Macaca fascicularis: one gene and its partners. The protein of the gene in region 1 interacts with the protein of each later gene in a pairwise test. Links are inferred from orthologs where the notes say so. Each region holds a gene or a part of one and is shown in the gene's direction. Other genes may lie near its edges. The genes, in order: HSPD1, TMCC2 and SAMD3.

Region 1 (10,580 bases):
TAAATATAACCCACCACCATTAAAAAATAATAAGGCAATGTCCTAACTTTAATGTACAGTAGTTGATTTTCCAAAATACTGACCAACTCTTAAACGTTCTAAAAAAAAAAAAAAAAGCTGCCAGGTGTGGTGGCTCACTCAGGCCTGGGATCCCAGCAATCTGGGAGGCCAAGGCAGGCGTATTGCTTGAGCCCAGAAGGTTCGAGACTAACTTGGACAACATGGCAAAACCCCCCATTTCTACAAAAGATACAAAAATTAATACGGCATGGTCGTGCATGCCTGTAGTCCCAGTCACTCAAGGAGGCAGAGGCGGTTGGATCACCTGAGCCTGGGAGGAAGGTGGAGGCCACGGTGAGCCATGATAGTGCCACTGCACTCCAGCCTGGGTGACAACGTGAGACTGTCTCCAAAAAAAAAAAAAGACAAGAAAAAGGAAAGTATAATTATTCCCTCAATTTACATGGTACTTGTGTACCTGGGAATTCAGTATGTTAAACCATGCAAAAAATACTTTGTATTTACATAAATTGGAGTTAGGAATGAAAACCTGTATACACAAATTATGGAACACCTTAAGACCTGTAACTCATTAGCTTGTTGTATTTGGAATCTAAATGTTGCAGTGGTGGCTCAAGCTTGTAATCCCAGCACTTTGGGGCCCGGCGCGGTGGCTCAAGCCTGTAATCCCAGCACTTTGGGAGGCCAAGACGGGGGGGATCACGAGGTCAGGAGATCGAGACCATCCTGGCTGACACAGTGAAACCCCGTCTCTACTAAAAAATACAAAAAACTAGCCGGGCGAGGTGGCAGGCGCCTGTAGTCTCAGCTACTCGGGAGGCTGAGGCAGGAGAATGGCGTGAACCTGGGAGGCGGAGCTTGCAGTGAGCTGAGATCCGGCCACTGCACTCCAGCCTGGGCGACGGAGCCTGACTCCGTCTCAAAAAAAAAAAAAAAAAAAAATTCCCAGCACTTTGGGAGTCCGGGACCAGCCTGGGCAACATGGCAAAACCTGTCTCTACCAAAAATACAAAAATTAGCTGGGCATGGTGGCACGTGCCTGTAATCCCAGGTACTTGGGAGGCTGAGGGAGGAGAATCACTTGAACCCAGGAGGTGGAGATTGCAGTGAGCCAAGATCGAACCACTGCACTCCAGCCTGGGTGACAGAGTGAGACTCCATTTCAGGGGGGGAAAAAAAAAAGTAAATCCATGGCTTGGTATCAGTATCAATCATGTATTAATAAAGCTAAATTCAGTATGAAAATGCACCTACCTAGAAAATCTTGTTTCCCAAAATTCTCTGCAGGTTACTTGAAAAACAGAAAACAGCATAAGCTAGAAAACCCTAAAACCATCTTAAAATAACTAAAGACTAACCACTCATTTACATATTTTTATTTGGAAATGTTTATATCAGCACAAGGAAATAATTTTGGAGACACTGGATGTCATTAGTTTATTATAAAAGAGAACTATGGAAATTATTTACATGATGAAAGATTTCAGAACTTCAGTGGAATGGGCAGCTTCATGTTGATGCCATTTCAATAGTGATTTATTTCAGTCTAGGTACTTTCCAAGAATGTCACCATCTCTAAATAGGAAATAATCCTGCAAGTGAATAAACCGTTAGTTAAGACACCTAATCGCAAATATTTGACTTCTTTTTAGAATTGTTAAGTTTACACACCTTGTCATCTAGAACTACTTTGGTGCCTCCATACTCTGGCAGAAGAACTTTATCTCCAACTTTCACGCTAACCGGTTGAATCTCTCCACCCTTAAAAAAGGAAGGATGTTTATTAGCAAACATATCTAGTTCACCCAACATAAACAGTTAACTTTTAAATCACTACAACTAATGAAACACACTCACTCAAATTCAATTATATTAAAAATACACTTGGTGGCTAAGTGATACGATTCATACTAGAATTGCAGATCTTCACTCAAAAATACCACTGTAGTCACACTTTTGAAATAATACACAGTGGCTTAAACTAAAACCTGACTCCAATATAAAAGTTCAAGAAAATATTCTGGAAAAGCTAACTTTACTTAACTAAAGCTAACTTTGTAACTGTTAAATATTAACGTAACTTATCAACTATATGAAATAAACCTGCAACGGTAGCCAGCACCCAGGAAATGCCATATACAAATGGTCATCTTTTCCTTCAACATACAAAAATGTAATATTGTTTTGTTCCCTCCAAAGTACAGATTTGGGGAAAGGGACTGCAGCTAAGTGTCCACTCCCCAAAGTCTTCCTATTCCTTCCTAACTCCATGACAGCTCCTCAATACAGCTTTCCTCCTCAGAAGCAACTGGAACAATGCAGCTAACATTATTTGGCCCCAGCGGCATTTAGGCATTTACTGTGTATTTTGGCTGACATCTTTAGAAGCCTAAGGCCTAAATAGTTAACTGAGGAACATCTAAAACAGAGGTGTCCAATCCTTTGGCTTCCCTGGGCCACAGTGGAAGAATTGTGTTGGGCCACACATAAAGTACACTAACATTAACAGTAACTAATGAGCTTAAAAAAACTTGCAAAAGAAATGTTTTAAGAAAGTTTAGGGATTTGTGTTAGGTGGCATTCAAAGCTGTCCTGGGCTGCAGGTTGGACAAGACTAACCAACCTGTTCCTCGGATAGGTACACCAACTAAGGCCCCAACTGGTTAAGATTAGGGCAATGTCAATGTGTTAGGGGTTAAACGAATAGTCCAAGATTCCTCTCAATTCTTTTTTTTTTTTTTTTTTTTTTTTTGAGACAGAGTCTCACGCTGTTGCCCAGGCTGGAGTGCAGTGGCGCGATCTTGGCTCACTGCAAGCTCCGCCTCCCGGGTTCCCGCCATTCTCCTGCCTCAGCCTCCTGAGTAGCTGGGACTACAAGCGCCCGCCACCGCGCCCGGCTAATTTTTTGTATTTTTAGTAGAGACGGGGTTTCACTGTGGTCTCGATCTCCTGACCTTGTGATCCGCCCGCCTCGGCCTCCCAAAGTGCTGGGATTACAGGCTTGAGCCACCGCGCCCGGCCTCCTCTCAATTCTTAAATGCCCCCTCATTTTACCTTGAAGCACATCTTTTGTCTTTATTTATTTATTTGTTTAGATACTAGGTCTCACTATGTTGCCCAGACTGGTTTCGAACTCCTGAGCTCAAATGATCCTCTTGCTTTGGCCTCCCAAAATGCAAGGATTATAGGTGTGAGTCACCATGCATAGCATCTTTTGTCTTATTAAAAATTTAGAATGTAAGGCAAACACTGATCATACTAGGCTACCAAATTGCTATTGAAGGCTTTTTTCTTTTTGAGACGGAGTCTTGCCCTGTCGCACAGGCTGGAATGCAGTGGCGGGATCTCGGCTCCCTGCAACCTCCGCCTCCAGGGTTCAAATGATTCTCCTGCCTCAGCCTCCCCAGTAGCTGGGATTACAGGCGGATGCCAGCACACCCGGCTAATTTTTCTATCTTTAGTAGAGACAGGGTTTCACCATGTTGGTCAGGCTGGTCTTGAACTCCTGACCTTGTGATCCGCCCACTTCGGCCTCCCAAAGTGTTGGGATTACAGGCGTGAGCCACAGCGCCCGGCGTATTGAAGACAATTTTTAATACTCGAAACTATCACATAAAATAAACATCATAGCATTGGTCATATAAAATAAGCAACTTTATATTAGTCATTTCCCTTTAAGAAACAGATTAGAACCAAAGCAGTTAATTATCTTGGACATGACATAAATTCTACCTAATAGGAGACTTTTAATACTCCAGAATTACTCCTTTTCCCTCCACTGCACACTATAGAAAAAATAGTTCCACCGCAGCCCCCATTTACCTTTCCTTTAGAACCCGATCCAACAGCGACTACTGTTGCTTGCAATACTTTTCCTTGAGATTTTTCTGGAAGCATAATGCCTCCTTTGGTTACAGTTTCAGCAGCACTCCTTTCAACCAATACTCGGTCAAAGAGTGGAAGAAACTTTCTAAACGCTTGTCCTGCCTGTAGGAAGAGAAATGTTTTGAAACAAAAACTAAATGTAATCATATTATCAACAGGCAACGCCACCGTGTTGTATACATCTCAACACGTTTTGGCTTCGAAAGTTAACACCAAACCTCAGCTTATTCGTTAAGGAAACGCATTTGAATGTACTAACCAATATTCCAAGTTTAATTCCCGATTCCTTACATCTGTTAAGGGTCGTTGTCGCTCCTCTGGTGAGCAACCAGACCAGCTTTAAGGTCAACCTTAGTTTATCCAAGGTCAAATGTTTTCCTTCTTCAGGGTTTTCCAGAAATTTTCAAGAAACGCTGGGTCAATCTCCCTGCCTGGCACCATGCTTTTTACCCAAGATATTACACATCCACAAAGGCCCTGCAGAGCAGGTGGGACGCTGCGCTTGCATCCGGGTTCCCGCCACCTGCCTTACACACCCGCAGCACACGCGCGTGCAAAGAGCCCCCGGAGAAGAAAAGGGTCGGGCAGGCCTTGCCGCTCCAAGGTGCCGGCGGGCGCTGGTCACTGAGTGGCCACCAATCCCTCCCGCCTAGCCCAACAAAAGAGGGGCGTCAGTGATCCCCGTACGCCTCAGACAGGCCCGGGCCTGCGGGCTTCGGTGCCACGCGGGACTCACCATGACTCCCTCCGCCTCAGACTCGTACTCTGCTCTAGTGTAGCGCCGCAAGGAGAGACTCGCGGCAAGGAGAGACTCGCGGCGCAGCCCTGGCGACACGTGAAAAAACCGCCCAGCGCGCAGGCGCGCTCGCCCCAACCCCCGCCGCTAGCCCCCTCGCCCCTCCCCGCGAGAAAGGGCGGTCGCCCCGACGCGCGCCGCGATTCGCCCCAAGGGCCCTGCGCAGGCCGCTGACGCGAAGACTCGGAGGCGGAAGAAAAGAGGAGCTGTTTCTAGGCTTTTCTAGGCGCCCAGCCGAGGTGAAAGAACTACCCCTTCGTCCCCTCCCGGAAATGACGCGATTTTACCCTTGACCCGTAGGGAGCGCGGCACTTTCCGGAAAGTTCTGGAACTGAGCGCGGCCCGGGAACTAGCCTAAGCCGGCGGGAGAGGGCTGAGCGCGCTAGCACACCCTGCGCGGGTAGGGAGGGGCGGGGCTCGCGCGCAGGGTGTGCAGATTGCAGGGGCCCGGCTGACGGGAAGGGGGTGGGAGCTGCCTGCACACGTGGTGCCCCGGGGCGGGGGGAGAGGCGGAGGGAGGGGACACGGGCTCATTGCCGTGTGCGCCCTGCACTCTGTCCCTCACTCGCCGCCGACGACTTGTCTCGCCGCGCGCACGCCCCGCCGCCGCCCCGCAGGTATGCGGCCTTCCCACGCCGCCTTCCCCGGCGCCTGCGACCCCCAAGTGGGCCTTCCTCCTCTGAGGTCCTGCTGGAGGATGCGGGCGACGACAACCTGGAGTTCTGCACCGCACCGCAGGCCCAGGCCCACGGGTCCAGGCCTCCCGGGTCCAGGCCTCCCGGGTCCATGCGGGTTCCATCACGTGCGACGCGGATCCTGGACCTCGGCTGGGCGCAGGAGGGACAACTCACGGGGATTGAATTTGGGGGATTGTAGCCACTTAGGCCCGCTGGTGCAACCCGCGCCTGGTCGACTTCGGGGAACCGGGGAGGGTGGTGTACGCGAGGGAACCGCTTTTTTCCCCCGCAGCTAGCTGGGATACCGCGCCTTCACTCTTGACCTTGCTGGGGGCGTTCGGAAAGACGTGGGCCCGCGCCGAGTGGGCCGGGCCGCCGCCCCCAGCATCGCGGCCTTGCTGGCTGCTCTGATACAGTAGCCTTGGGTGGATCCATGGAGATACTTTGCTGAGCTGCTTTTTGCACCGCCAGGAATACTTTCAGCTTCCCTGGTCACTGGGATTTGTAACTTGCCTCTCTCCGGCTGACTTGGTTTCTCAGGGGCCACAGTTGGAGTGGGTCTGCCCACAAGGCCGTTTTCGCGGTGAAAGATTAACTCGTTTTTGGCGGCAGGGATAGGTGGCCGTGGGGAAGGAGCTGCATGTGCTTTGTGCTAGTGCTATAGGTCAGGCGCCGGGGCGGCTCTTTAGCTTGCGGTAGTGGCTGATGTTCCGAAGCTGCGGCGCCTTCCGTCATTCAGGTGTAGTGGCTGGCAGAGGTCAGCCAGGCTCACCATCTCACGTTGCTTGCTCTGTTGCACAGGTGCGCATGTTTGTGCTGCAGCGCATCATAGGTGGTAGTACTGATTATCTATTTGCTTCCATCCCCAGAAATGCTTCGGTTACCCACAGTCTTTCGCCAGATGAGACCGGTGTCCAGAGTACTGGCTCCTCATCTCACTCGGGCTTATGCCAAAGATGTAAAATTTGGTGCGGATGCCCGAGCCTTAATGCTTCAAGGTGTGGACCTTTTAGCCGATGCTGTGGCCGTTACAATGGGGCCAAAGGTATCAGTATTTTTATTTTATTATAATTATGGTAGTATTAATAGCATTTTGCTCACAAATAGTCGCACTGAACTGTTGAACAGTACTTTCGTATCCATTTTTGAGAACTCAGTTTACATGTAAGAATTCTGAAGTATTGGTTAACTTTTTTTTTCTTAGACATGATCTTAAAGCTTAAACTGCTTCAGCCAGATTTTCGAAACTAGTTTGTTCAATGTGTGATGTAATCGGGTAGTAACATAGCTCAAGATGGATTCTTAAACTCGAGGTAGAATTTTGCTTGCCTAAGTTAAAATTTGGATCCTTTCTGAGTAGTTCATGCCAAGTGTAGAGAGAAGAGTTTAACTTATCTTCCATAATCCCTCAGGTATGTGCTTGTAGGTGCTAAATTTTTTTTTTTTTTTTGGTTTATTGTAAAATGTACACAACATAAAATTACCATTAAGTGTGCACTTTGGGGACATGGGGACATTAATTACATTTATGTTGTGCAGTCACCACCACCATCCATCTCCAAAACTTTTTATATGGGAAAATTGTAATTTTGTACTCATTATACAGTAGCTTCCCATTCTCTCCTCCACCTCAAGATGCTAGTTTTACCTATCGGTTTTCTGCTGTTCTCTTGTTCCGAAGCATATTTAAAATAAGTCTCATTTAATAGGGGTAATATTTTGAGGGGGGCTTTGAAGGTGGTGTGCGGTCAAGTGGTGCTTCATTTCAGTTTGAAGACAGTTCAGATATCAAGTGATCCAAACAACTGCATAAAACACAACATTTGCACACCTCACGAATAGAAAGTAGCAGCTTTAGTTCAAATCCAAAGGATGGTCAATAACTGTGCCATGGTTGAAGTTGTATGTTGAGTGAACTTGGAAGAGCACACTACTTGCCTTGATGGTTAATATTTTAAACGAATTTTAAAACAAGTCACATTGCTTTAAAAGATAACAGGCACTAACTAAAACTTAGGTATAAGTGATAGGAAGATTGTTTTATTCTTTGTCTTGTGTTCTTGTTCATTTTATAAGATGACAAATTTTAGTCCCTAGTATTTTAATCTTCTAAATTACTTAGTTCAAAATTATGCTCTTGGCAGAGAAACAGGTCATTCTGTCTGTAGACAAAGAATGTCGATAAACTTGCCCTTGAGATTCATGCTGCAAGACTGATAAAAATGACACAACTTATGTGGAGACTTTGAAGTAGTTGCTTTATTATGAAGACTGCTCATTTTTTAAAATATAAGTAATCCTTAGGGTATGTGTGATCCTGTTACATTTTTTTTCTTGTAGGGAAGAACAGTGATTATTGAGCAGAGCTGGGGAAGTCCCAAAGTAACAAAAGATGGTGTGACTGTTGCAAAGTCAATTGACTTAAAGGATAAATATAAAAACATTGGAGCTAAACTTGTTCAAGATGTTGCCAATAACACAAATGAAGAGGCTGGGGATGGCACTACCACTGCTACTGTACTGGCACGCTCTATAGCCAAGGAAGGCTTCGAGAAGATTAGCAAAGGTGCTAATCCCGTGGAAATCAGGAGAGGTAGGAATGTCTATTGTCACTACAGTGTTCTAAACTTCAGTGTGCTTTAAGGCATTGATTCCTTGGAGCTAAGGAGAGTGTCTGTTACTTTAGGAAATTGATCCTTCTCTCATTCCTCTTGGCCTGGAGAAATCTTAAACTGGGTTTTCCTTTAGCAAGTAGTGATTGAATGCCTGGCTGTATGGTGGGTAGGTACTGTTAGGTAATTTTGATGTTTTACTTAGTTGGTTTCTTTTGTTTTTAGAGACAGGGTCTTGCTCTGTAGCCTAGGCTGGACTGCACTGGAACTCCTGGACTCAAGCAATCCTCCTGCTTCAGCCTCCAAGTAGCTGGGACTACTACAGGCACTCACCACCATTCCTGGCTAATTTTTAGTTTAGTTTTGTAGAAAGTAAGATTGAATACACTGGATCATTCAGAATGTCAGAAAGTAATGTTTTTTGTTTTTTGTTTTTTGTTTTTTGAGACGGAGTCTCACTCTGTAGCCCAGGCTGGAGTGCAGTGGCCGGATCTCAGCTCACTGCAAGCTCCGCCTCCCAGGTTCACGCCATTCTCCGGCCTCAGCCTCCAGAGTAGCTGGGACTACAGGCGCCCGCCACCTCGCCCGGCTAGTTTTTTGTATTTCTTTAGTAGAGACGGGGTTTCACGGTGTTAGCCAGGATGGTCTCGATCTCCTGACCTCGTGATCCGCCCGTCTCGGCCTCCCAAAGTGCTGGGATTACAGGCTTGAGCCACCGCGCCCGGCAGAAAGTAATGTTTTCCTCAGTTTATTTTTTTTTATTTTTTTGAGACAGTCTCGCTCTGTCCCCCAGGCTGGAGTACTGTGGCGTGATCTACGCTTACTGCAAGCTCCGCCTCCCAGGTTCACGCCTCCCAAGTGAACCTCCTGCCTCAGCCTCCCGAGTAGCTGGGACTACAGGTGCCCACCACCATGCCCAGCTAATTTTCTTTATTTTTTAGTAGAGATGAGGTTTCACCGTGTTAGCCAGGATGGTCTCGATCTCCTGACCTCGTGATCTGCCTGCCTCGGCCTCCCAAAGTGCTGGGATTACAGGCATGAGCCACCGCGCCCGGCCCATTAGTTTATTTTTTCTTAATAGCACACACCGTGTTATTGGTTTGTGTTTTGTTAGTGCTTGTAACTGGAGTGCAACTTAATTAACAGATTTGCTCCTCAGCATGAACTTCATGGCAGTGTAGACTTAAATTCTAGTCCCATCTTTGTCATTTATTAGCTGTGTGCTAAGACTTGGTTTTCCTATCAGCAGAATTGCTGTGTATATCCAGCGTATGTTAGGGTTGAAACCAGGAACCCTCTTGTGAGTGAAGGTGGGGGAGCTATTGATAATTTTTTGTCAGAATTGGCATACTAATGTATCATTACCTCATATATTTCAATGTTTATGGACCAAGTGACTACACTTCACTAAAAGCAATTTTTTTTTTTTTTTTTTTTTTTTTTGAGACGGAGTCTCGCTCTGTAGCCCAGGCTGGAGTGCAGTGGCCGGATCTCAGCTCACTGCAAGCTCCGCCTCCCGGGTTCACGCCATTCTCCTGCCTCAGCCTCCCGAGCAGATGGGACTACAGGCGCCCGCCACCTCGCCCGGCTAGTTTTTTGTATTTTTTAGTAGAGACGGGGTTTCACCGGGTTAGCCAGGATGGTCTCGATCTCCTGACCTCGCGATCCACCCGTCTCGGCCTCCCAAAGTGCTGGGATTACAGGCTTGAGCCACCGCGCCTGGCTACTAAAAGCAATTTTACTGTAAATCACTAACAAGTATTAAGGTTATGAAGAGGACTTCCCAACACTTTGCATTGGATTTTTTTTGAAGTAACATTTCTCAAACAACAAGAGAGCTAGCACTACTCCCAGTTGAGCAAAATAGGACTGTTAAGAGTGATGTAAAACAAAAATATTTTGTTAGTTCATAATACATACTAAATTGAGGGGTTTTCAGATAATTGACACCTGCAGAGGCATAGTCACAACAGATTCCTATCACTTAAGAACTATACTTCTTGTTGAAAATAAGGGAGTGTTAACCATTTTGGTCCTTTTTTGCATCATCTAATGGACATGAGAAGTGTTGGGGACCCTACTGAAAACAGGCAGCATGATTGAGTTAGGAATAATTTGCATAGGATGAGTTCAGTGGTGAGACTCTTGAAACTATACATATCTACCTTGTTTTAGTCCTATTTTCTTTTTTTTTTTTTTTTTTTTTTTTGAGACGGAGTCTCGCTCTGCCACCCAGGCTGGAGTGCAGTGGCCTGATCTCAGCTCACTGCAAGCTCCGCCTCCCGGGTTCACGCCATTCTCCTGCCTCAGCCTCCCGAGGAGCTGGGACTACAGGCGCCCGCCACCTCGCCCGGCTAGTTTTTTGTATTTTTTAGTAGAGACAGGGTTTCACCGTGTCAGCCAGGATGGTCTCGATCTGACCTCGTGATCCGCCCGTCTCGGCCTCCCAAAGTGCTGGGATTACAGGCTTGAGCCACCAGGCCCGGCCTTAGTCCTATTTTCAAAATTTTGGCATTGTGAGATTTTATTTACTGTGTGAACCTAAAGTTACTGTTTAAGTACATGCCATGCAACTCTGTGTTATTAAGA
Region 2 (10,126 bases), on another chromosome or scaffold:
TAGGTGACAGAGCAAGACTCTGTCTCAAAAAAAAAAAAAAAAAAAAAGAACAGTTATTTTCAAACCAAATGACTAAAGGCTTCCTTATGCCAGCCAGGTTAACTGAGTGATGTCCACCAGGGAAAACAAAGCTGGCTATAAGGACATGAGCCCCCCCACCCGAGCCCTCCCTAAGCCATTCTTGAAGACATCACACACATTCTGGCTCCTTGGCCTGTGTTCATCTCCTCCCAAGCCAACTCAATCTTGGCGGTTACTAAGATAATAGAGTGAGAAGAGGGTTTAAACTACAGCAGGAGAAATCTGAGTTAGACACAAGAAAAGGCTGTTGGAGCATTTGAAATATTTGTGAAAGGTTATGTCTTTGGAAAAGATAGCCATCTAAGGATTAAAATCACCTTTGTAAGATGGATTTGTAGAGACTTGGATAGTGGCTGCTCAGAAAATAAATGAACAAATGATTTACGTAGCAGTCTTACATGTTTGTGTTGAGGCCTCTGCCAGGTAATGTTAGGGACACAGATGTAGGTGCTGTAGCTCCTGCTGTCCAGTCACTCATATTGTCCTCAAAGGTTCCGTCCATCAGCAGGTGAGAAGTTGGATAACAGTTGGAGAGAGCACTGGAAGCGATGTCGCAAGGCAGTACACGATTAATTGCAAAATGAGTGGTGCAGATAATGAGCGCTTATGTGTTCAGAGCAGGGTGAAATCGCTGCAGACTGGTGTGATCAGAGAGGTCTTTATGGAGTGGCGAGGTGGTGAAGGATGGGTAGGATGCAAAGAGGCAGAGAGAGGGCACACCATGCTGGGAACTTTAATAAAAGTCTTCTATGTTGGTGTGTGCTGAATCAGTTCTGCCTAAAGACATGGTGGATGAGGTGACCTTTTCCCACTTGCTTTGGCTCCAGGCAGAATTCTCTAAGCAATAAAGGAGAAAGGAATCAAAATAAAATTGAGAATGGGGGAATTATTTGCCTGTGTGCCCATGAGTTGAGACTTTTTTTTTTTTAATGTCAGCTGTGAGGCTGAGAAAGAAAGAAATGATTCCAAAAAGCTTTCATCACTGGGTTTCCAATAGAAACTCCAAGTGGGCCTGAGCAGTTGCAGCTGCCTACTGTACACCACTGTGATCATCAGCACCAAACCTGGGGTAATGGTTCCGCTCCTGCTCCCGCCCAGGCTCCCCACCCAGAGCTTCTTAAGGGCAATTGGAGACTTCTTCAATCCACTTTGGATCCTGAGAGTAGAACTCTGTGGGTTTTTACAGTGATTAGTTCTCTAATGCTGGCCCTGTTTCCATAGAGACCCTATAAATAGAGGAACGTTGGCAACCTAGGCTGGCAAAGGCTCAGGGTGACCCAGTCACCCCACTGAACCCTCACAGCCAAACTGTTGGTAGGGCGGAAGGAGTTTCAAACCCAGGTAGGAGGAAGGGCTATGCAGTCAGCTGCCAGGTGGGAAAATTAGCTATAGATTAGTGTGACTTTAAGCTTTCCTGGGATTTGTTGAGAACACGGGGACCTGTAAAAATTAGAAACCACTTTTGGTCATTTTTAACCAGATGGTGCCAATGACACTGTACCCCGAGACATTTTAGTTTTGGATTTATGCAGCTGTGTTTGCAGATTTTGGAGCAAACTTCCCCTTTGGGGGACCCACACCCAGGGAGAAAGACGGATGAAGCCCAACTGTTCAGAAACCACAGCCTTCTCAGGAAGGATCTTTCAGAAGCCATCTAGTCCTCCCTTTCTTCCTGAAAGGACAATGTCACCCAAGGAGATGGGGTCCTTCCTGCCCTTTCAGATAGTTCCAAGGGAGGGACAGCCAACTCCCCTCACTTCCTTCCTCAGGGCAACTCACCCTGGGAGGCTCTCCTTTCTGACTACCTTCTGGCCAATTCTGGGGACGGCACTTCTTGCTTCGGTCTTATGGATCATGAAAGCCCTGTTTGTGTCCCACCTCTCAGCTCTCTACTACATGGCTTCATTTGGCCACCAGAATGGTTTCTGGCAGCCAGGGAAAAGCAAAAGTCAATGTGGAAAAGCAAGTGACATTTTAGGAGCTGGAACCTGTTAGTCAGAGCAGGTGGTGCTTTCTGCTGCGTTGGCGGCTAAGTTCCCTTAAGCTAGTCACCATGGTTTTCCTCACTTCTGAAACTTGTAGCTGGTTATGTGTATGTGCTGAGTTTTTTTTTTTTTTTTAAACACTTACTGTGTTATGTCAAAACTCCTTAACCATCTCCTCCCTGACACCCACATAAAGAAGCGGCCCAGCCCATGCGTCACTTTGCTGTTCCCGCCTCGCACCTTATAAGTGAGGAAAAACCCCTTCATTTGGAGCAATCTCCTCTCTCCGCACATTGTTCTTTAACTTCTTTTTTGTTCTTTCCCTCCTGCCTGCCACAGACTTTGATAGACTCCTTGGTCTGCTGGGGCAAAGGTCCTGGGGTCTCCTGGTCACTTTCCTTAGGTTTCCTTTACCCACAGGACAGCTCAGGAAGATGGGAAGTAAAGACTTTATAGTTGAGGGTCTTGTCCTATAACATGGGATGGGCAGATCACGACTGCAGTTCAGGGGACCTAACAACCCTTGACCCAGGCATTTTTGTTTTGCTCCTGCCTTTGATACTGTTCTGGGACGCATGCAAATACCCTACCTACTTTAGTCTTGAAATCAGTGTATGGGGCCGGGTGTAGTGGCTCATGCCTGTTATCTCAGCACTTTGAGAGGCCGAGGTGGGCGGATCACCTGAGGTCAGGAGTTTGAGACCAGCCTGGCCAACATGGTGAAACCCTATCTCTACTAAAAACACAAAAATTAGCCAGGTGTGGTGGCACACACCTGTAATCCCAGCTCCTCAGGAGGCTGAGGCAGGAGAAGTGCTTGAACCTGGAAGGTGGAGGTTGCAGTGAGCCAAGGTCATACCATTGCATTCCAGCCTGGGCAACAGAGCGAGACTCTGTCTCAAAAAAAAAAAAAAGAAAAGAAAAGAAAAGAAAAAAAAAAAAGAAATCAGTGTATGGGCCCATGAAGGTAAATTCAATTAGAAGTTGGGGGTTTCTCTCTGTGGCTTGGATGAGCCACTTAGCTATGCTGTGCTTCCATTTCTTCATCTGCAAAATAGACTGATGCTATGATGTCTCACATTTCTAGCTCCTGAGATTAGGCTAGTGTCAGATTATGACAGTATAAATCAGAATGCACTTTGCAAAATGCTGTTGTATAAATTTTAAAAGCAAATTGACCAAAGATTTTAGGCTCCAAGGCAATATGGCAGACATTAGTGGCTGCCATAGCTCTCCTTGGCACCTCCACTGGCCTCCCAGGGATAGGGGAGAAGAAATGCCTCAGAACTCTAGGACCTCTGCTGAAGTCTTTAGAAGGGAAACTCTTTCTGCCTGAGTGGATCCTCAGTGTTGGAGAAGCCAGTTTCGGAATGGGGGGAGAAGAGGAAGAGACCTGGAATAGAATGCTAGAAAGACAATTTGTATTATGGAATGTGACGATTTGGCAGAGGCAGCTGGGCAAATGCCAGAGCCAGCTGGCCCCATCACAGTACCTGGAGGGAGGTCTCGCATCAGCTTGGGCCTAGGGAAGAGGGAGGTGTCCTGGCGTGTCCCTGTTCTGGACACTGCAGGATCTGGCCCGTTCCAAGTCCATGGCAGAGTTGACATCTTGGTTCTTCCCAGCACAGATTCAGGTGAGCCTTGTGATCCTGCCTCAAGCTGGCCCCCAGGGGATGGTAACTCCTGTGGGAAAACCTGGCATTGTGTAACTTAGCATCTCGAGGGCCGCCCCAGAATTCAGTTCTTGAGAGGGAATCGTGGTATCCTTAATTTCCTCATCTCTAAAAGGAGATGTTCCAGTTGTTGGTTTTGTTACTATTTAGGAAAACCAGATAGGATAATGCAGGATACAAAGCTTCTTTAAAATGAAAAACCATTAGTTCGTGATGAGTTGTGATGATGTAATTTATCTGGTCTGTAAAATGGGTGATGTAAGGGCCTCACCTACTTTGAAGATTCTGGGGATGCTCAAATGAGGTGAAAAATGAAAATCCTAATATTTTACACAAATACGTAATGGTGTGGTTATTTGTATCCAGCTGTAAGTGCAGCCATCTGCACAAACTCAAGGCTGAGTTGTAAAGTAACCTAAGAGTGGGGTCAGCTCATTCAGAGGATGTCAGGTTGCTTTTTCTTGGTTTCTATATGGTCTAGATTTTCTGCTCTGTAAGGTTGTTTCTAGGGGAAAAAAAAGAAAATCCAGTCTGTGTAATTTTTTGGAACATTTTTTAAATGATTGAGGCTGCCTGGTAAGATTGTAGGTTGTTCATCACAGGAAATCCTGCTATGGCTCATTGAGTCCCACATGGCTGGGTCCTGAGTTTTCCTCTAAGGAGCTGCAGAATGTGAGGTGTCTCCTGGTCCTCCAAGTCTCACCCCTCCTCCCACTGGCTCCAAAGCTCTCATAGAGGGCTCAGCCTGGCCAGATAAGCCGTCCCCTGACAGAAGCAGCTGTCTGGAATTATCCCACAGTTGCTCGCCCTGGCAGGCCATCCAGCTGCCCCTCTGGGAACAGTCTTGCTGGAGGAGCAGCTGGAAAATCTCAGCGACAGGGCTGAGAGGAAAGGCTGTGGCCAGGGCAGCACTGGGTTGCAGGGCCTCTTTGGGTCTAAGGGGAAAGACACTCATTTGGATAGCTTGTTCCGATGTGTATGCTGAAGAATTGGTCACATTACTGACTATGTCACAAGGTTTGCTCATAGAAGTAAAGTTTATTTCATTGCCAACCGCATCAGGAATGAGATTGGCTGCAAATAACAGAAAATCATACTAGAGTTGTGTAGACAAAGATGGGTTTATTTCATGCAACAAGAATTCCAGGATAGATGTTCACAACTGGTTTGGTGGCTCCATAGACTTTCAAGTTCCCAGGACTGTCCCTTGGGCTCCACCATCTGTGTGCAGGCCCTCATCAGGTTGCAGAATGGCCACTGCATCTCCGGGCACTGCATTCCCATTCCAGATGGGAAGATGTGGAAAGGACCAGTGCCTTTATCAGGAAAGCAAAAGTGTTCCCAGAAACTCACCTTGCTTTTTGTTGGCCCAAACTGTCATGTGGCTACTCCTAGCTGCAAGGGAGTCTGATGAAGCAGGAATTTTTAGCAAAGTGATTTAAGTCCTTGCAGTTTGATTGGTAAGAAAGAAAGAGAAATAGATATTGGGTAGGCAATTAGCAGTGTCTGCTACAACAGTGTAACCTGATTGTATGACCCTGATTTTCCTGGGCGAATGTTGGAATTGGGCATCTTTGGAAATCAATGCTTGGTGGCCTGAAAGAGCTGGTACAGCTTGAAGGGATGTCTAACTTGGAAGGAGGGAAGAACTGGGGCTGGGGGTATCAATGTAGAGGGATACAACCCCATGAGCCAAGTGCTACCTATGTATGCCATTAAGCCTCAGACTGAAGCCCTGAGAGCATCATTCCTAGAAACTCTGAATCTACATTTTGATTGGGAATGTCCTGTGGGAAAACCATGGGGGCACATCTCTTTGGGAATGAAAGGATGGGTCTGGGTTGCCACCTTTTCGCAAAGTGACCTTTTATGCACGACATGCCATCTATAGAGATCTTCCAGGTTCAGATGGCTGCATTAGCTATGCCAGTCCACCAAGGACAGACCCTTCACCTTCACCCCACACTGACTAGGCAATCAAGAGCTTTCCACTCACCAGGGTTCTTCATCTCTCCCCCTTCAGAAAATCCAGCAGCTGTCAGAGGGCTCCATGTTTGGCCACGGTCTGAAGCACCTGTTCCACAGCCGCCGTCGGTCTCGGGAAAGGGAGCACCAGACGTCTCAGGATTCCCAGCAGCAGCAGCAGCAGCAGCAGGGTATGTCCGACCATGACTCCCCAGATGAGAAGGAACGCTCTCCGGAAATGCACCGCGTCTCCTACGCCATGTCCCTGCACGATCTGCCTGCCCGGCCCACTGCCTTCAACCGTGTGCTGCAGCAGATCCGGTCCCGGCCCTCCATCAAGCGGGGCGCCAGCCTGCACAGCAGCAGTGGGGGCGGCAGCAGCGGGAGCAGCAGCCGGCGCACCAAGAGTAGCTCCCTGGAGCCCCAGCGTGGCAGCCCTCACCTGCTGCGGAAGGCCCCCCAGGACAGCAGCCTGGCCGCCATCCTGCACCAGCACCAGTGCCGTCCCCGCTCTTCCTCCACCACCGACACTGCTCTGCTGCTGGCCGATGGTAGCAACGTGTACCTCCTGGCTGAGGAGGCCGAAGGCATCGGGGACAAGGTGAGGTGGGCCTTCTGGGGCAGGGGGAGACTCAAAGGCAAGGGCCATCTGCTGAGGGGCCTTGAGATCTGGGGAGCTGAACCGGGGGCCCTGCCTGGCAGATCCTGACACCCTGCCGCCTGCATAGTTATCTGCCTTGGTTAAAGGAGTCAGATATGACTAGGCCAAAAACAAGAGATGATCCCCAGGATGGCTAATTTTTGTTTCCTCAGGGTTTTGTTTTTCAAAATTGTGTTTTGTTCATACTGGTATTAATGTTGACTTGTTTTCCTTAAATGGGCTATCAAGAAGCAATATGTATAGTAGTTTAAAGCATAGACTGGAAGCAACCCTGGTTCTGCCACTTACTCAGTTAACCTCTTTATGCTTGTGTCACCAGTGGAAAATGAGGATAATAATAGTACAGTTGTAGGACTAAATGAGTTAATATATATAACATACTTGGAATAGAGCCTGGAGTAGTATCATCTTTACTATTGGCACCAACCAAAGAAGATAGGGAATCCGTGAAGGGTGATTTGGGAAGGAGAAAAGCTAGTTTGGCACTTCATGAATTTATATATTCGTTCTTTTATTCATGTAACAAGTATCTATTGAATCCTTATTTTGTGCTACAAGAATGAACAAGCCAGTGTTGCTGTCCTTGTGGAGCTCACTCTAGAAGGGGGACGAGTGGGTGAATGAACAGACAGATGGGAGCTGCTGTGGGAGCTTCAAGGGAGAGGGGACTTGAGGAGAGAGCAAGGAGCTGGCAAAGACCTGTTTGAGGAAACCATTGAGCTGAATCTTAAATAATTTAGCCAGGCAAGAACTGGGAGAGGGGAAGGGGGAAGGGAGGGCATAGGACGTACAAAAGCACACAAGCTGGTGCTGGGGGCTACTGGGGGTTCATTATGGCCAGAGCATCTAGCACTTTTGGGGATTGACAGGTAGGCAGAGGCCACATCACAAAAGGCTTTGCCATGTTGAGTCTGGGAATAGTGTGAAGCTATCAGGGGGTGCTAGGCAGGAAACTGGCAGGACGAGGTCCCTCTAGGTCTCAATATAAAGAGTAGATTGGGGCAGGCACGTGACTCACACCTGTAATCCCAGAACTTTGGGTGGCCGCGGTGGGCGGATCACTTGAGGTCAGGAGTTCAAGATCACTATGGCCAACATGGTGAAACCCCGTCTCTACTAAAAGTACAAAAATTAACCAGGCATGGTGGTGGGCGACTGTAATCCCAGCTACTCGGGAGGCTGAGGCAGGAGAATTGCTTGGACCTGAGAGGCGGAGGTTGCAGCGAGCCAAGATCAAGCCACTGCACTCCAGCCTGGGCGACAGAGCAAGACTCAGTCTCAAAAAAATAAATAAATAAAGAGAAATAAAAGAAATGGGGGAATTCTCTAGTTGAGGAATCACAGGAGAAGGAGCGTGTTTTGAGGGGAAGGTGATGAGTTCAGTTTTGGACCTGTTGAGTTGCAAGTGCCTTTGGGAGCTGTCCAGCTAGGGAGGACCAGCTGGTAATTGGGTCTGTGGGGTAGAGTCCTGAGCCGGGGCCAGTGCTCTGGGAGCTGGCACTGAGGTTGAAATCATGGGTATGGGTGAGGTCTTCAAAGGAGGATGTGTCGAATGAGAAGGAGGCCGTGGACAGATCCAACTGACATATAAGTGACAGGCCAAGCACCAGGAGCCTGAGAGAGAGCAGTCAGATGGATAGAAGTAAACTTGCAGCATAACAAAAGAAAAATGAGCTTGAAGGAGGAGGAAGTAATTAGAGTGAAATGCATAGAAGGGGCAGGTCACATCTGGGTTTGGAAATGTGCACAGGCAGTAGCAAGCAGTGGCTGTCATTGGGAACCATGACCTGAAGCCAGCTTCTGTGGATTAAGGAGAGGGTGGAAGTGGAGGCAGGTGTGTAGCTTGGCTGGGAAGAAGGAGGGCATCAGGTGGAGGCAGTCTGGTTTTGTTGGTTTTTTCGAGTCAGGAAGCACCTGAGCCCACCTCCATGTTGACTGGAGAGGGCCCTATTAGGGAGAGACCGAAGATAGCAGTGAGGAAGGGGAATTCTCACTGGGGTGAGGTCAGTGAGTAGGTGAAAGGGTGTGAGATCCAGATGTCAGCATGGTCCTTGGTCACAAAGAGTCACCTCTGGGAGGCAGAAATGAATTCTTACTTTGTTTTTATTTTCTATGGGGGAAGAAACCAAAAGTGCAACTGTTTATTGTGAATAGTAGGGGTGGTGGGAAGGGCTGGCTTGAGAAGGGCTGTAAAGTTTTGGCTTGGGGCAGAGCAAGGCTCTGAGCAGGAACTCACGGGTGACCTGTCTGGTGTTGTAGAGGCTCGTAATTTGTGCTGGCAGCACCCTAGTGGTTGCACATTGTTTTCTCTGTAGTGGTCCTAGCCAGAGGGTAGGAACAGAGCTGAACGATTATCTGGCTAATCCAGGGTTGGGGGTTGCTGGGAGGGCATGTAAGGGTGACAGAGGAGTTGGGGGTTTGGATCAGAGAATGCTTGAAATCTTGGCTAGCAGAGAAGGAGGTGGGAATAGGAGAAGGCTGATGAATGTGGAGAAAAGGAGATGGGGGTACTGAGGGAGTGAGGGAGCAGGTATGTTAAGAATAAAGAGGAGTGAGAGATAGGAGAGGGCATTGGTGTTTACGATTTGGGGGATGGGATAGGGAAGACAAAGGTCCGAGTATACTCATAGAGCATGGCAAACAAGGAATGAATGGAAAGATAATTTGCAGTGGCAAGAGCTGAGAGGCTAGGTTGTGGGATGGGCTGTCCACAACATGGAGATGCCCCCTAGGACAGTGGTCAGGAAGGAGGGCAGCTGGTAGCTTTGATGACTGGAGGGTGGGGGAGAAGAGTGCAATGGCAGGGACCTCAAAGGAGGCCGGGCTAAAGCAACACTGAGTACAGTAGAATGCTGGTCCCATATCCAGAGGGCACAAAATGGGGGAGGAAGAGGAAGAAAAAATCACTGCGATTAATGCGGGCTCCAGGGCAAGCGGAGCTGCAGTAAGAGCCTGCAGGGGCCCAAGTGCATGACTGTGGGCAGGAGGCAGCTTGTTTGTTGTGGAAGGAGGAGTCTGGAAGGTCCAGTGGGAGGGCAGATGAAAGAGAAGACAGCTCAAGTGGAAGTGAGAGAAGGAGACATGATGGAGGACCAAACAATTCTACATTTGGGGCATGTGAGGCCCTGTGGGTTTTCCAGCGTCAAAGTTCCAAGGGAAACTCTGATATAAAGTTGTTTTTACCTTAGATGATCACCAGAGCAGATCCATCTCCACATATAGTTTTAAATTGTCCTCTCATCAACACAGACTGTTTCTCAGGTTCTTGTGCGTGTTGACATTTGAAAATGTTTGGATGTTCATTCATTCAACAAGCATTTGTGTATACGCTGTGTGCCCGGCACTGTATAGCAGCTCGGGTTTGGTTTTGTACTTTTCCAACGTAGAAAGTGCTTTTGTAGACATTGTTTCATGAATTCATTAAAGCAATCCTGTGAGACAGCTAAGCCAGGTGACGATATCCCAATTTTTTTTTTTTTTTTTTTTGAGACAGAGTCTTGCTTTGTCACCCATCTCTGCTCACTGCAACCTCCGCCTCCTGGGTTCAAGTGATTCTCCTGCCTCAGCCTCCTGAGTAGCTGGAATTATAGACGCCCACCACCTCGCCTGCCTAATTTTTGTATTTTTAGTAGAGATGGGGTTTCACCATGTTGGCCAGGCTGGTCTTAAACTCCTGACCTCAGGTGATCCGGCTTTCCTCAGCCTCCCAAAGTGCTGTGAACTGGGTGTGAGCAGGGCATCTGGTTCAGAAGCTGTCCAAC
Region 3 (10,681 bases), on another chromosome or scaffold:
AAAAGACTACAAATTGGGTGCAGTGAATACTGCTCCAGTGATGTATGCACCAAAATCTCACAAATTACCACTAAAGAACTTACGCATGTAACCAAACACCACTTGTTCCCCAATAACCTATGGGAATAAAAATTTTAAAAAAATAAAATAAAAATAAATCCTTATAATTTAAAAAATGACTGTTTCATATGCTTTAGCATAATGGATACAGACAGCCCCTTTTGGTGTGTTTCACCTGCTTGGTGTCTGCAAGCTTTATAGATGTCACTCCCTTTCAGACCAGGATGTATGAAAAAAATTAATAGTTTTGTTCCTTAAATGTTTAAAACATTAATATAAATATCTATGTTTTCAAAAACGAAGGAAAATTGGTGCATGTATGAATGTTTAGTAAAGGCTAAGGCCTTCCATCTCATACACAATTTGCTTCAAGAAAGAATGCTTTTCTGTCATTTATTTGACTCAGCTGCCTAAATAATCTTTCCAAAGCATGGAACATACTCTCAGTTCAATGACTCTCCCAAGCTTAGGCATATCTATAAACTCTTAACATTCTAAGCCTTTCTGCAATCTTCAGACCCTGTCTCCTGTGGTTCCCTACCATGTGGTGCCTATTCCAAGCAGCATGGTCCTCCCTGAGGTTCCAAAACATGACTCGTTTATTTCTGGTTTTTTACTTTGAGTTCATTACATTGGTCCTGCTTTCTCCAGTTTTTTTGCTATCTAAACTATGTCCATTATTTAGATTCCAAATCAAGATCCATTTGCTTCCAGGACACTGTGGGAAAATCCAGCCTCAGGGTGCTTTCTAAAGCATCCATCATAATTGGCTGTATATCATATTCTGCTTATCTATGTATCTTATCTTCTTAGTAAGGCTTCTAACTTCTTTAGTGTATCATCATCCACCCCACTTTGGGCTAGCTATCTAGTCAGTAAACATCTTGGTGACTAACATATGCAAAGTATTTGAGTTGAATATTTCAGTGTTTATTTCATGTGGTCTGGCGATGGTTGGAAGAACATCATCAGGCCATAGTGGATGAGATGTTATGTTCCATTGGAACATCATGCTGCTATTGAGACACCGGAGTACGAAGAGGTCCCTGGAGAACCTCCAACCAGCCTGCGCACTAAGAGAATGGCATGGAGCCACGGAAGTTCACGCAGTTTGCAGCAAGGAGGACCTGGCCTCTCTTATCCTGGTGTGGGAACTTGGAATTCAATCTGTGAGATGAGAAGCATATACTAGCAGGACTCTCGCTCTGCTGAGAGCCAGTTTCCCCTTATTTTCCTTTTCGCCCAATAAATTCCTTTTTTCTCACCCTTCAAAGTGAATGTGAGCCTTATGTTTCATGGCTGTATGACAAGAACCCAACTCTTAGCTGAACTAAAGAGAGAGTCCTACAACACTATCACCTCCCATGGTAGCAAGGCTGCTACCCAAGAGAATTGCCCCGACATTGTTGTATGTGACAGCCACATCCTTATTTTTGTACCTCAATTTTCCTTCTTTTATACACGCGCAGCCTGGAACTGATTTTTGATAAATGTTTCGTCCCTTCAAGTTCAGCCACGGTAGGAGATACTTTTTCTCAGGGCAGAATGAGGTATTGATCCAGGAGACGGCATATGCTGCCAGCAAAACTTTTAGGAATCTTTTATTGTCTCAGCTTTTGGACTTCAGAGGAATAAAACTAAAAATGCAAATAGAAAGAAAGATGACAAAAAGTGTTCATAGTTTCTTAAAAAGTGCTCTTTGGTGGTTGATGTTTTTATGTTAGATTGCCCCTTGAAGATTATAAATCACATTCACAGCAGATGACCCTATAATCTTCCTTTGTAGTTTTAACAAATTTATTAAATAAAGCTTACCCATATTCAGGCTGCTTTAGCTAAAGTCTTACCTCTTCTTGGCTTTAGTTAGATGAAGCCCTGTAATATTTAATACAAATTTATTTTCTTGATTTTTAATTCAATCAAATAATGGAATGGTTTAGCAGGAGCATTCATACATAATTCTTCTTAAAAATTATTAATCTTTAATTATTAATTCTTCTTAAAGAATTATTAATTCTTTAAGTATTAAAGAATTATTTTATTAAAGAATACTTTAATTAGTAAAGTATTATTAATTCTTCTTAAAAATTATTGTGCCTTCAACTATTTAGGGTTAATGCTTGCCTTCACATTTTGAAATATTTTCAGATGTTTCTGAAGCTCAGAATAAAGCTACCAGATATATCTTTTCTCATTTGATATATAGTTTATGCCTTCATGGTGTAGAAGATCATAAATAACATATCCATAATTTATGTGAGAAGAAGTTGTAACGTTACTACTCAAAAGATGTTACATTGTTTAGTCAGTGATACCGTTTTATAAACTCTCCAGAAAAACTACTGGGCAAAAACTATATGCTTTTTAATGTTATTATGTTTGTATGACATTATAATTTAACCTGTTTTCTTTTTCCCAGAAGTAGAATTGTGGTAAAAATCTGCAAATTTAAAAATACGTGACCATTTCCAAGTACTCATTTTATTTTCAAGTTTCCTTTTATCCATAGATGACTATAAGGCAGTATCTTCTGCTCTGCATACCTTTTTATCGTAGAGCTTAGAGAATTGTTTTATTTTTTCTTTATTTTCTATTTTTTCCCTAAGTCCTAATCTTCGCAAGGAAGCCAGAAGTGTGACAGAAAGGTGTGATTTTTAATTTACACCAGAGTCTCGCAAATAATGACTTTTCACACCCTGCTATTGCTGCTTAGCCTAGGGGAGGAGTTATATGGCTACTGTTTGTCATAGCAAATTAAATCCACTGCTGAAATTCAGAAAGATGTTCTTCTATATTTAACCCTTGTTTTCAATTTTTCAAGTTGGTGTTTGTGAATACTTATGAGTATGAGGCTTAATACTTTGAAGTCTACCTGTTTTTCTAGGAAATGATTCTTGAAGACTATCTTTCCAGCTTGTCACATATGCAAGGTAAACATCTTTCCCCTTTTCCACTATTTTAACTATAATGTTCGTAATTGTAACTTATTTAAATATACAAAAATGAAAAATACAACAATAGTTCTATTTAAAACTTCCATCAATAAAATTTAAATTCACGACTAATAAACATTTTTATCTTTCCTTATGATTCCATTTCTCCAAGAGTAGCTTTTTCCTTGGTCTTTATAGAATAGTCAGTATCTTAATGTACAAGTAAATCTATATCATTTAGATTGAGATTTCAAATTGACAAGTAATGATAAAAGGTTAAAATATTTTAAATTTATTTCAGTTCCCTCCCCACCCACCCCGCCTCCAAGTCCATCAGAAGTCCTTTGGATTTAATTACAAAAACCAGAAATAAGCTTCCTTAGGGAAATAGCTTTAAGTTTTCTAAGTGGTTGGAGACAAGCGGCATGCAAAAATAACTGAAATAGTTAAAGAATGTATCTTGCAAACTTTGCCTACGCTTCTTTCACAATAATTATTAACATATTTAATTATTTTCCAATTTTGAATATGCCCAATTAAGTAAAAAATTTTCAGTCAGAGTGGTAGTTTATCCTAGTTATCTCACCAATCATAACAGTGTCCAATAGAGTTCTAGAACTCAGAGGGATATGTAAGAGTAGTATTGGAAGGAAGGACAGAAACATTCAGATTCTCCTGAGAAATTTGGGTCCTACTTCCTCCTCTTGCTAAAGGAAAACAATGAGAAGCAGTAAGTTACAATCTCCTTCTCCTAGCTAGGAGAAGCAAGGGGTTAACCAGTCTTGGTTTACTAAGTATCTCTGTCAGGCTTTTATCTGATCCTTCCTCCCTTCCTCCCCTGCCCACCCCTTCTGTAAATGTCAACCACTTCCTGAGGAGCCTGGTACTGGTGAATTTCACACCTTTCTTTTCTTTGTGAAGAAACCTGGGTGTTAATGGTACAGGATTGGGTACCATTGTGTGTCTCTGGCTGTCTGTTAGTAAAGCTTAGGATGCCTGTGGAAAAAAAGTAGGAGAAGGTGAAGAAATCTGAGAAATGAGATACTAGGAAATAGTTTTAAATCAGGTCTTATTTTTAAAGTGAGTGTGTGTTTTGTTAGCAATTTTTAAATGTACATTGTAAAAATCGTAATTTTTAAAAAGCTTAACATTGAGAGTATAAAGGAGTCTAGCAAAGGAAGGGGCTATTAAAAAAAATTAAGGCACAATCAGAAAGAAAAGCTGGAGAATTCTCTGACCTTTTGCTCTACAGGTATATTTACAGGAGACAGCAATGGAAACTTGGTCAGTTGAGCAGGTCTGCAGTTGGTTGGTGGAGAAAAATTTAGGCGAGCTAGTTCATAGGTTTCAAGGTGAGTTGTTTATACTTTCCAAAAATTTTAATTGAGCAACCTAGATATTCTGATGTCCTCTCTTACTGAAAATTACTTTTGTTGCCAAATGTCTGTGTGCATGTAAATGTGGATGTGGGGTTGCTGCAGTAGAGAACTTTACATTTCTTTATGGACTGTAGCAGAGTTTCCACTTGAAAGTAACATCCACAGGAGAATATAGTGTTTCAAGAACTCAAATAAAATAAAGTCTTACGGGTCATTTAAAATACATATTTGATATATGCATTTAATATTGCTTTTGTTCTTAAGTAATACAGTATGTACTTTTTGTAGTGTTGGGTTTATAAGGTTCAATACCGGCTAGGAGGTATTACGAAGAATAATTTCCTAAGGTTTTTTTCTTTATAAAACAATACCAGTTAGAGAGAACTAGAATGGGGAGGGTGTTAATGTGGAAATAATAAGTTTTTTATTGTGATTCCATGTTCTGGTGCTTTCTTAGGACCAGGCATTGATTTGGAATTATGCAACATTGGAGTTCTGTCTTTGTCAAAAATATGGATACATTTATAATGGCAGGGGACAAGTTTAGATGATCCTTTTATCACTAGAGGGAATTTTGCCTCTTCAGAATGCCTGTGTTTTGCCAGAAAGCCATGTAGAAACTAATTTTTTTTCTATTTCCCAGAGGAAGAAGTAAGTGGGGCCGCTCTTCTCGCACTTAATGATCGGATGGTTCAGCAACTGGTAAAGAAAATTGGGCACCAGGCTGTTCTGATGGATTTAATTAAAAAATACAAGCAGAACACTCAAGGACTGAAGTCCCCAGAAAACCCCAAAGAGGCAGCCCTGGTCATGCAAACAGAAGCAGCCCGAGAGTGAGTATGTTCATAAATGGCCTTAATTTTTTTTTTTTCCCGTTTTCCCAATGGTGTCTAGAGCATGACGTTTGGGTTTAAAGCCCTTTGAAAATTGTGATCATTTTCTGCTAGACTGTATGTACAGTATTTCTAATATTTGAGCAAAGGACGTTGTAAAATTTTAAGAGTCAAGAAACTTTCTTATACACCATTTTTTAAACACTGATTCCAATCATTAGGGAAGTCCTATTAGCAAGGAGTTTCTATGTAAAATGCTGTGGAACAAGCAGGTGAAATAGACATGTAACAGAAGGAGAAACGGATCCTGAAGCTCTGGTTTTAAGATCAGGCTTTGGAAAAGGCATCTTGATTGCTCCTTTGCTTTTCCCAAAACTGTTTATTTATTAATCTAGTTATTTATTTTCCTAGGATTTCTTAGAGTAATGAACTTACACTCTCCTCTACTTGCCTTTACGATGTAATTTGCTAAACACATTATTGTCACATGAGTTTTCTAATTTTTTAAGAGTATCCTTATAATAATGAATACTATGAAACACCCCAAAAAATCATGTAGAAAAAGTAGTGGTGGCAGATAAAAGCTCTGAAGTTTGGGGATGGTTTTATCTGTTTGTTTTTTAATCACTGACTTCTGCAATGGAAAGAAATGATACAGGATTTATAAGGCTGAAATTTTCATTTTACACATCCATCTATGCCCTGGGATCATTTCAGCCATTCTGATTTGATTTTTCCATTTTCAAGATTTTTTTGTAAGGTTTCTAAGATTAAATAAATTTTAAAGATTTTGATGATTGATAAAATCTATTCTATGTTTTTACTTTAATTTTTTGAGATTAGATTGGTAATAATAAAGATTTCTCTCTTTCTCCTTGATAAGTAGTATAATGGTAGAGACCTGACATAAGCAAGTTTATTTCTAGAATATTTGAATATTTGGGACATGGAGGGGAATAGGTAGCCTTGAAGGGATGGTATAGAGCTGGACTGGAAATTCTACTAATTGATTTTTTTTTAAAAAAAGCTTTTTGGTTTTTTTGGAGATGGATCTCAGTCTGACCCCCAGGCTGGAATGCTGTGGCAGGATCATAGCTCACAGCAGCTTCGAATTCCTGGGCTCAAGCAATCCTCCTGCTTCCGCCTCCCAAGTAGTTGGGATTACAGGCACTCAACACCATGCCTGGCTAATCTATTTTTATTTTTTTAAACAAATGGTGGTCTCACTATGTTGCCCAGGTTGGTCTCCAACTCCTGGCCTCAAGCCATCCTCCAACCTCAGCCTCCTAAAGCGCTGGGATTACAGGCAAGAGCTGCTTCGCCCGGCCCCCAGCTGATTTATTTGAAGGATTTCTAAACATTGTTTTGGCATATCTGTGTAAAAGAGGACACTCTTGAACATGTAAGTTTTGATGAAGTTCCCATTGCAAGCTTTTACTCCTTCCCAGCAAGGGAAGGGTAGGAACCTGAAAGAGAGATCAGGGTAATTTCCTTGTATTTTGGGATGAGTAGGACTTTTGAGCTGGAAGTTCCCTTCCATTGAGTGGAATCTTGATATTGCCTTAGGCACAGCTTAGAAGAAAACAGGCAGTCTTGTTTCCACTGCAAATCAGTTTGTAATGTTCTCAAGCAAAAGAGAACTGGCTGGACTGCCAGGAAACCTGGGCTTCCTTCCTCGTTCTACCACTGACTTGGATTGATTATATTAAATGTTGGCATTCCTGCTTCTTCATCTGTACATTGTGAAAAGTAATATGGTACTTACCTCGTCTTTAATTCACACTGATGTTAGGAGTATCACAATCTTTGAGCAAATCTGTCCTTTTTCTCCTAGACTAAAATAGTCCTGTGTTAAATATGAAACTTTGTTAACCGGGTTAAGAAAGCTAGTTTCAAACATGGCCAAGACTGGGACCACTGTTTGTCTGGGGATTTATGAGTGGGGACTTTGCACTCTACCCACAAGCAGCTGACTCACCTTAGGGATTTGTTTGTCTTGTATTTAGATTAAATTCTTCTGGTGCAGAATTACAATTGCATGTGAGAAGAGAAAACTTACTGCTTTATATTTGATTAAAATGCTTGTTGGTTGTATTTGCTTATTGTCAAATATATTTATTAACTATGTTGTCACTTGACAATCATCAAGGAGAATGATAGTAGAAAGAGGTATGAGAATACGCTGTGTAATTAAACCCCCTTAGAGAGTGTTTAATAAAGATAGGAGACTTGGTGTACAGAAGAACCCTGAAGCTAGCTATCAAGACACCTGATTTCAACCCCCTGTCATGATATTAGCCCTTCATCCAGCCTTGGAAATTTGTCTGACCCCTTTTAGTTTTAGCTTCTTCAATTGTAAAATGAAGTAGATAGAATAAGTGATACTTTAGGTCCCTTCTAAAGAGTCTGTGATGGCATTCTAGATCTGAGATAGCTGATAGGTTTCCGTTTGAGTAGATTCCCATTAATGGCTAGTGGTTGCCTGTGTGAACCCAAAAGTCTCTGAGACAGGTCTCAATCAATTTAGAAAGTTTATTTTGCCAAGGTTAAGGATGCATCTATGACACGGCTTCAGAAGGTCCTGATGACATGTGCCCAATGTAGTCAGGTACAGCTTGCTTTTATACATTTTAGGGAGACATAACACATTAGTCAGTGTAAGATTTACATTTGTTTGAACTGGAAGCGCAGAACAACCCAAAGCTGGGGCTTCCAGATCACAGGTGGATTTAAAATTTTTCTGATTGGCAGCTCAGTGCAGTGGGTCACGCCTGTAATCTCAGCACTTTGGGAGACCAAGGCGGGCAGATCACTTGAGGTCAGGAGTTCGAGACCAGCCTGACCAACATGGTGAAACCCCGTTTCTACTAAAAATACAAAAATTAGCCAGGCATGGTGGTGGGTGTCTGTAATCCCAGCTACTCAGGAGGCTGAGGCAGGAGAATTGCTTGAACCTGGGAGGCAGAGTTTGCAGTGAGCCGAGATCATATCATTGTACTCCAGCCTGAGTGACAGAGCGAGACTCTGTCTCAAAAAAAAAAAAAAAAAAAAGCCAGGGGTGGTGGCTCACGCCTGTAATCCCAGCACTTTGGGAGGCAGAGGCAGGCGAATCACGAGGTCAGGAGATTGAGACCATCCTGGCTAACACGGCGAAACCCCGTCTCTACTAAAATTAGCTGGGCATGGTGGCGGGCACCTGTAATCCCAGCTACTCAGGAGGCTGAGGCAGGAGAATGGCGTGAACCCAGGAGGCAAAGGTTGCAGTGAGCCGAGATTCGGCCACTGCACTCCAGCCTGGGTGACAAAGCAAGACTCCGTCTCAAAAAAAAAAAAAAAAAAATTCTGATTGGCAATTGATTGAAAGAGTTATTATCAATAGAAATGTCTGGGTTATAAGGGGTTGTGGAGACTAAGGTTTTCTCATGCAGATGAAGCCTCCAGGTAGCAGGCTTCAGAGAGAATAGATCATAAATGTATCTCTTTTTTGTTTGAAATGGAGTCTTGCTTTGTCTTCCAGGCTGGAATGCAGTGGTGCTGTCTCGGCTGACTGCAACCTCTGCCTCCCAGGTTCAAGCGATTCTCCTGCCTCAGCCTCCTGAGTAGCTGGGCTATAGGCGCCAGCCACCACGCCTGGCTAATTTTTTGTATTTTTAGTAGAGATAGGGTTTCACTGTGTTAGCCAGGATGGTCTTGATCTCCTGACCTCGTGGTCCACCTGCCTCGGCCTCCCAAAATGCTGGGATTACAGGCATGATCTACCATGCCTGGCCCATAAATGTTTCTTATTAGACTTAATGTCTGTGTTGATGTTAATGCTGGTCAACTTTTCCTGAATTCTAAAAGGGAGGAGGGTATAATGAAGCATGTCCAACCTTCCCTTCCCATCATGGCCTGAACTAGTTTTTCAGGTTAATTTTGGAGTGCCTTTAGCTGAGAGGAGGGGTCCATTCAAATGGTTGGGGGCCTTAGAATTTTATTTTTGGTTTACACCTGGCTTTTTTTTTTTTTTTTTTAATGGAGTTTCACTCTTGTTGCCCAGGCTACAGTGCAATGGCACGATCTCAGCTCACTGCAACCTCCACCTCCCAGGTTCAAGTGATTCTCCTGCCTCAGTCTCCCGAGTAGCTGAGATTACAGGTGCCTGCCACCACGTCCAGCTGATTTTTGTGTTTTAAGTAGAGACAGGGCTTTGTCATCTTGGCCAGGCTGGCCTCAAAATCCTGACGTAAGGTGATCCACCTGCCTTGGCCTCCCAAAATGCTGGGATTACAGATGTGAGCCACCATACCCGGCCTGGCACGTTATTTTAAAAAGGATTTGTAGGCCACTTCTGGGCAGGATATTTAGCATCTTGTTGATACCTCAGCAAATGATGGGGATATGAAATAGGCGGGCATATTTGCAGTTGCTTTTTGGTTGTTGTTCTTGTTGAAACTGGTAGAAAAATCATTGGTCAGGAAGGTGAAAAACTGAGTTCAAATCCTGGCACTGCTACTGAGTAGCTCACCAGGAGTTGCTTTGCCTTCTAGGCTTCAGTTGCTTTACTTGGAAAATGAGGGAGTTAGTAGAGTGTGTTTCTAAGATCATGAGGTTTCACAGATAATAAAATGTCTCCCAAAGTGGCAGAAAGCAGAGTAGGGATCTGAGAGTTTACCATTTAATTTTGCCAGACAAGAATATTAGCTAAAAAAGAAACATTCTACAATCACCATCATTTCATAAAGGAAAATATTGTCTTTTTTTTTTTTTTTTTTTTTTTTGAGATGGGGTCTTGCTCTGTAGCCCAGGCTGGAGTGCAGTGGTGAGATCTCGACTCACTGCAAGCTCCGCCTCCCGGGTTTATGCCATTCTCCTGCCTCAGCCTCCCGAGTAGCTGGGACTACGGGCGCCTGCCACCACGCCTGGCTAATTTTTTGTATTTTTAGTAGACTCGGGGTTTCACCGTGTTATCCAGGATGGTCTCGATCTCCTGACCTCGTGATCCGCCTGCCTCAGCCTCCCAAAGTGCTGGGATTACAGGTGTGAGCCACCACGCCCGGCTGGAAAATATTGTCTTAATGCCATTTCAAAATAGGATAGATCGGTGAAAACAGCATTATGAACTGGCAGCAGTCTGCCTCCTGGCACGTAGAACCAATTAATTAAATGACGCCAGAGGGGCCTTCTTTCCGTTCTCTTACTCATGAGTCTAATGTGGAACTTGGAAGTGGACACAGACCATGATATTTACTCTGGGCTGGTGCTACCCTCTGAACTGCTGTGAGATCAATGGTCATGTCACCTGTTGAATAGTGCCTGACCCACCTCTTCGTTCTTCGTTACAGGGATGAAGAGTCCTCTAGTCCAGCCAGCCATGGGGAGCGAATGCCATCTTTCTATCCAGCTGAAAACTTTGATAATGGACTAATTGACCAAAGAGTATTGAAACAGAGGTGGGGATACCAACTTTAAGACAGTTTAAAGCCAAATAACATTC

The links.
Region 2: the proteins of HSPD1 (region 1) and TMCC2 interact in a two-hybrid assay, tested with the Homo sapiens proteins (2 studies listed by BioGRID). The two-hybrid records come from large-scale screens. The link is inferred for Macaca fascicularis from reciprocal best matches to the Homo sapiens genes HSPD1 and TMCC2.
Region 3: the proteins of HSPD1 (region 1) and SAMD3 interact in binary tests that used the Homo sapiens proteins (3 or more experiments, as listed by UniProt). The two-hybrid records come from large-scale screens. The link is inferred for Macaca fascicularis from reciprocal best matches to the Homo sapiens genes HSPD1 and SAMD3.

What each region holds. Positions count from the first base shown.
Region 1 is NC_088386.1:93,113,308-93,123,887, reverse strand, and holds the start of HSPD1 (60 kDa heat shock protein, mitochondrial), read left to right. Parts: upstream 1-4,788; 5' UTR 4,789-4,941; intron 4,942-5,012; exon of another isoform or gene 5,013-5,102; intron 5,103-5,260; exon of another isoform or gene 5,261-5,319; intron 5,320-6,248; 5' UTR 6,249-6,250; coding exon 6,251-6,424; intron 6,425-7,719; coding exon 7,720-7,972; intron 7,973-10,580. Other genes in the region: HSPE1 (10 kDa heat shock protein, mitochondrial), read right to left, coding at 1,563-1,613, 1,693-1,782, 3,844-4,008, 4,643-4,645. UniProt on the Homo sapiens protein: Chaperonin implicated in mitochondrial protein import and macromolecular assembly. Together with Hsp10, facilitates the correct folding of imported proteins.
Region 2 is NC_088375.1:63,077,550-63,087,675, forward strand, and holds part of TMCC2 (transmembrane and coiled-coil domains protein 2), read left to right. Parts: intron 1-5,762; coding exon 5,763-6,305; intron 6,306-10,126.
Region 3 is NC_088378.1:34,198,108-34,208,788, reverse strand, and holds the start of SAMD3 (sterile alpha motif domain-containing protein 3), read left to right. Parts: upstream 1-3,904; 5' UTR 3,905-3,928; coding exon 3,929-3,931; exon of another isoform or gene 3,932-4,073; intron 4,074-4,245; coding exon 4,246-4,345; intron 4,346-5,015; coding exon 5,016-5,205; intron 5,206-10,529; coding exon 10,530-10,637; intron 10,638-10,681.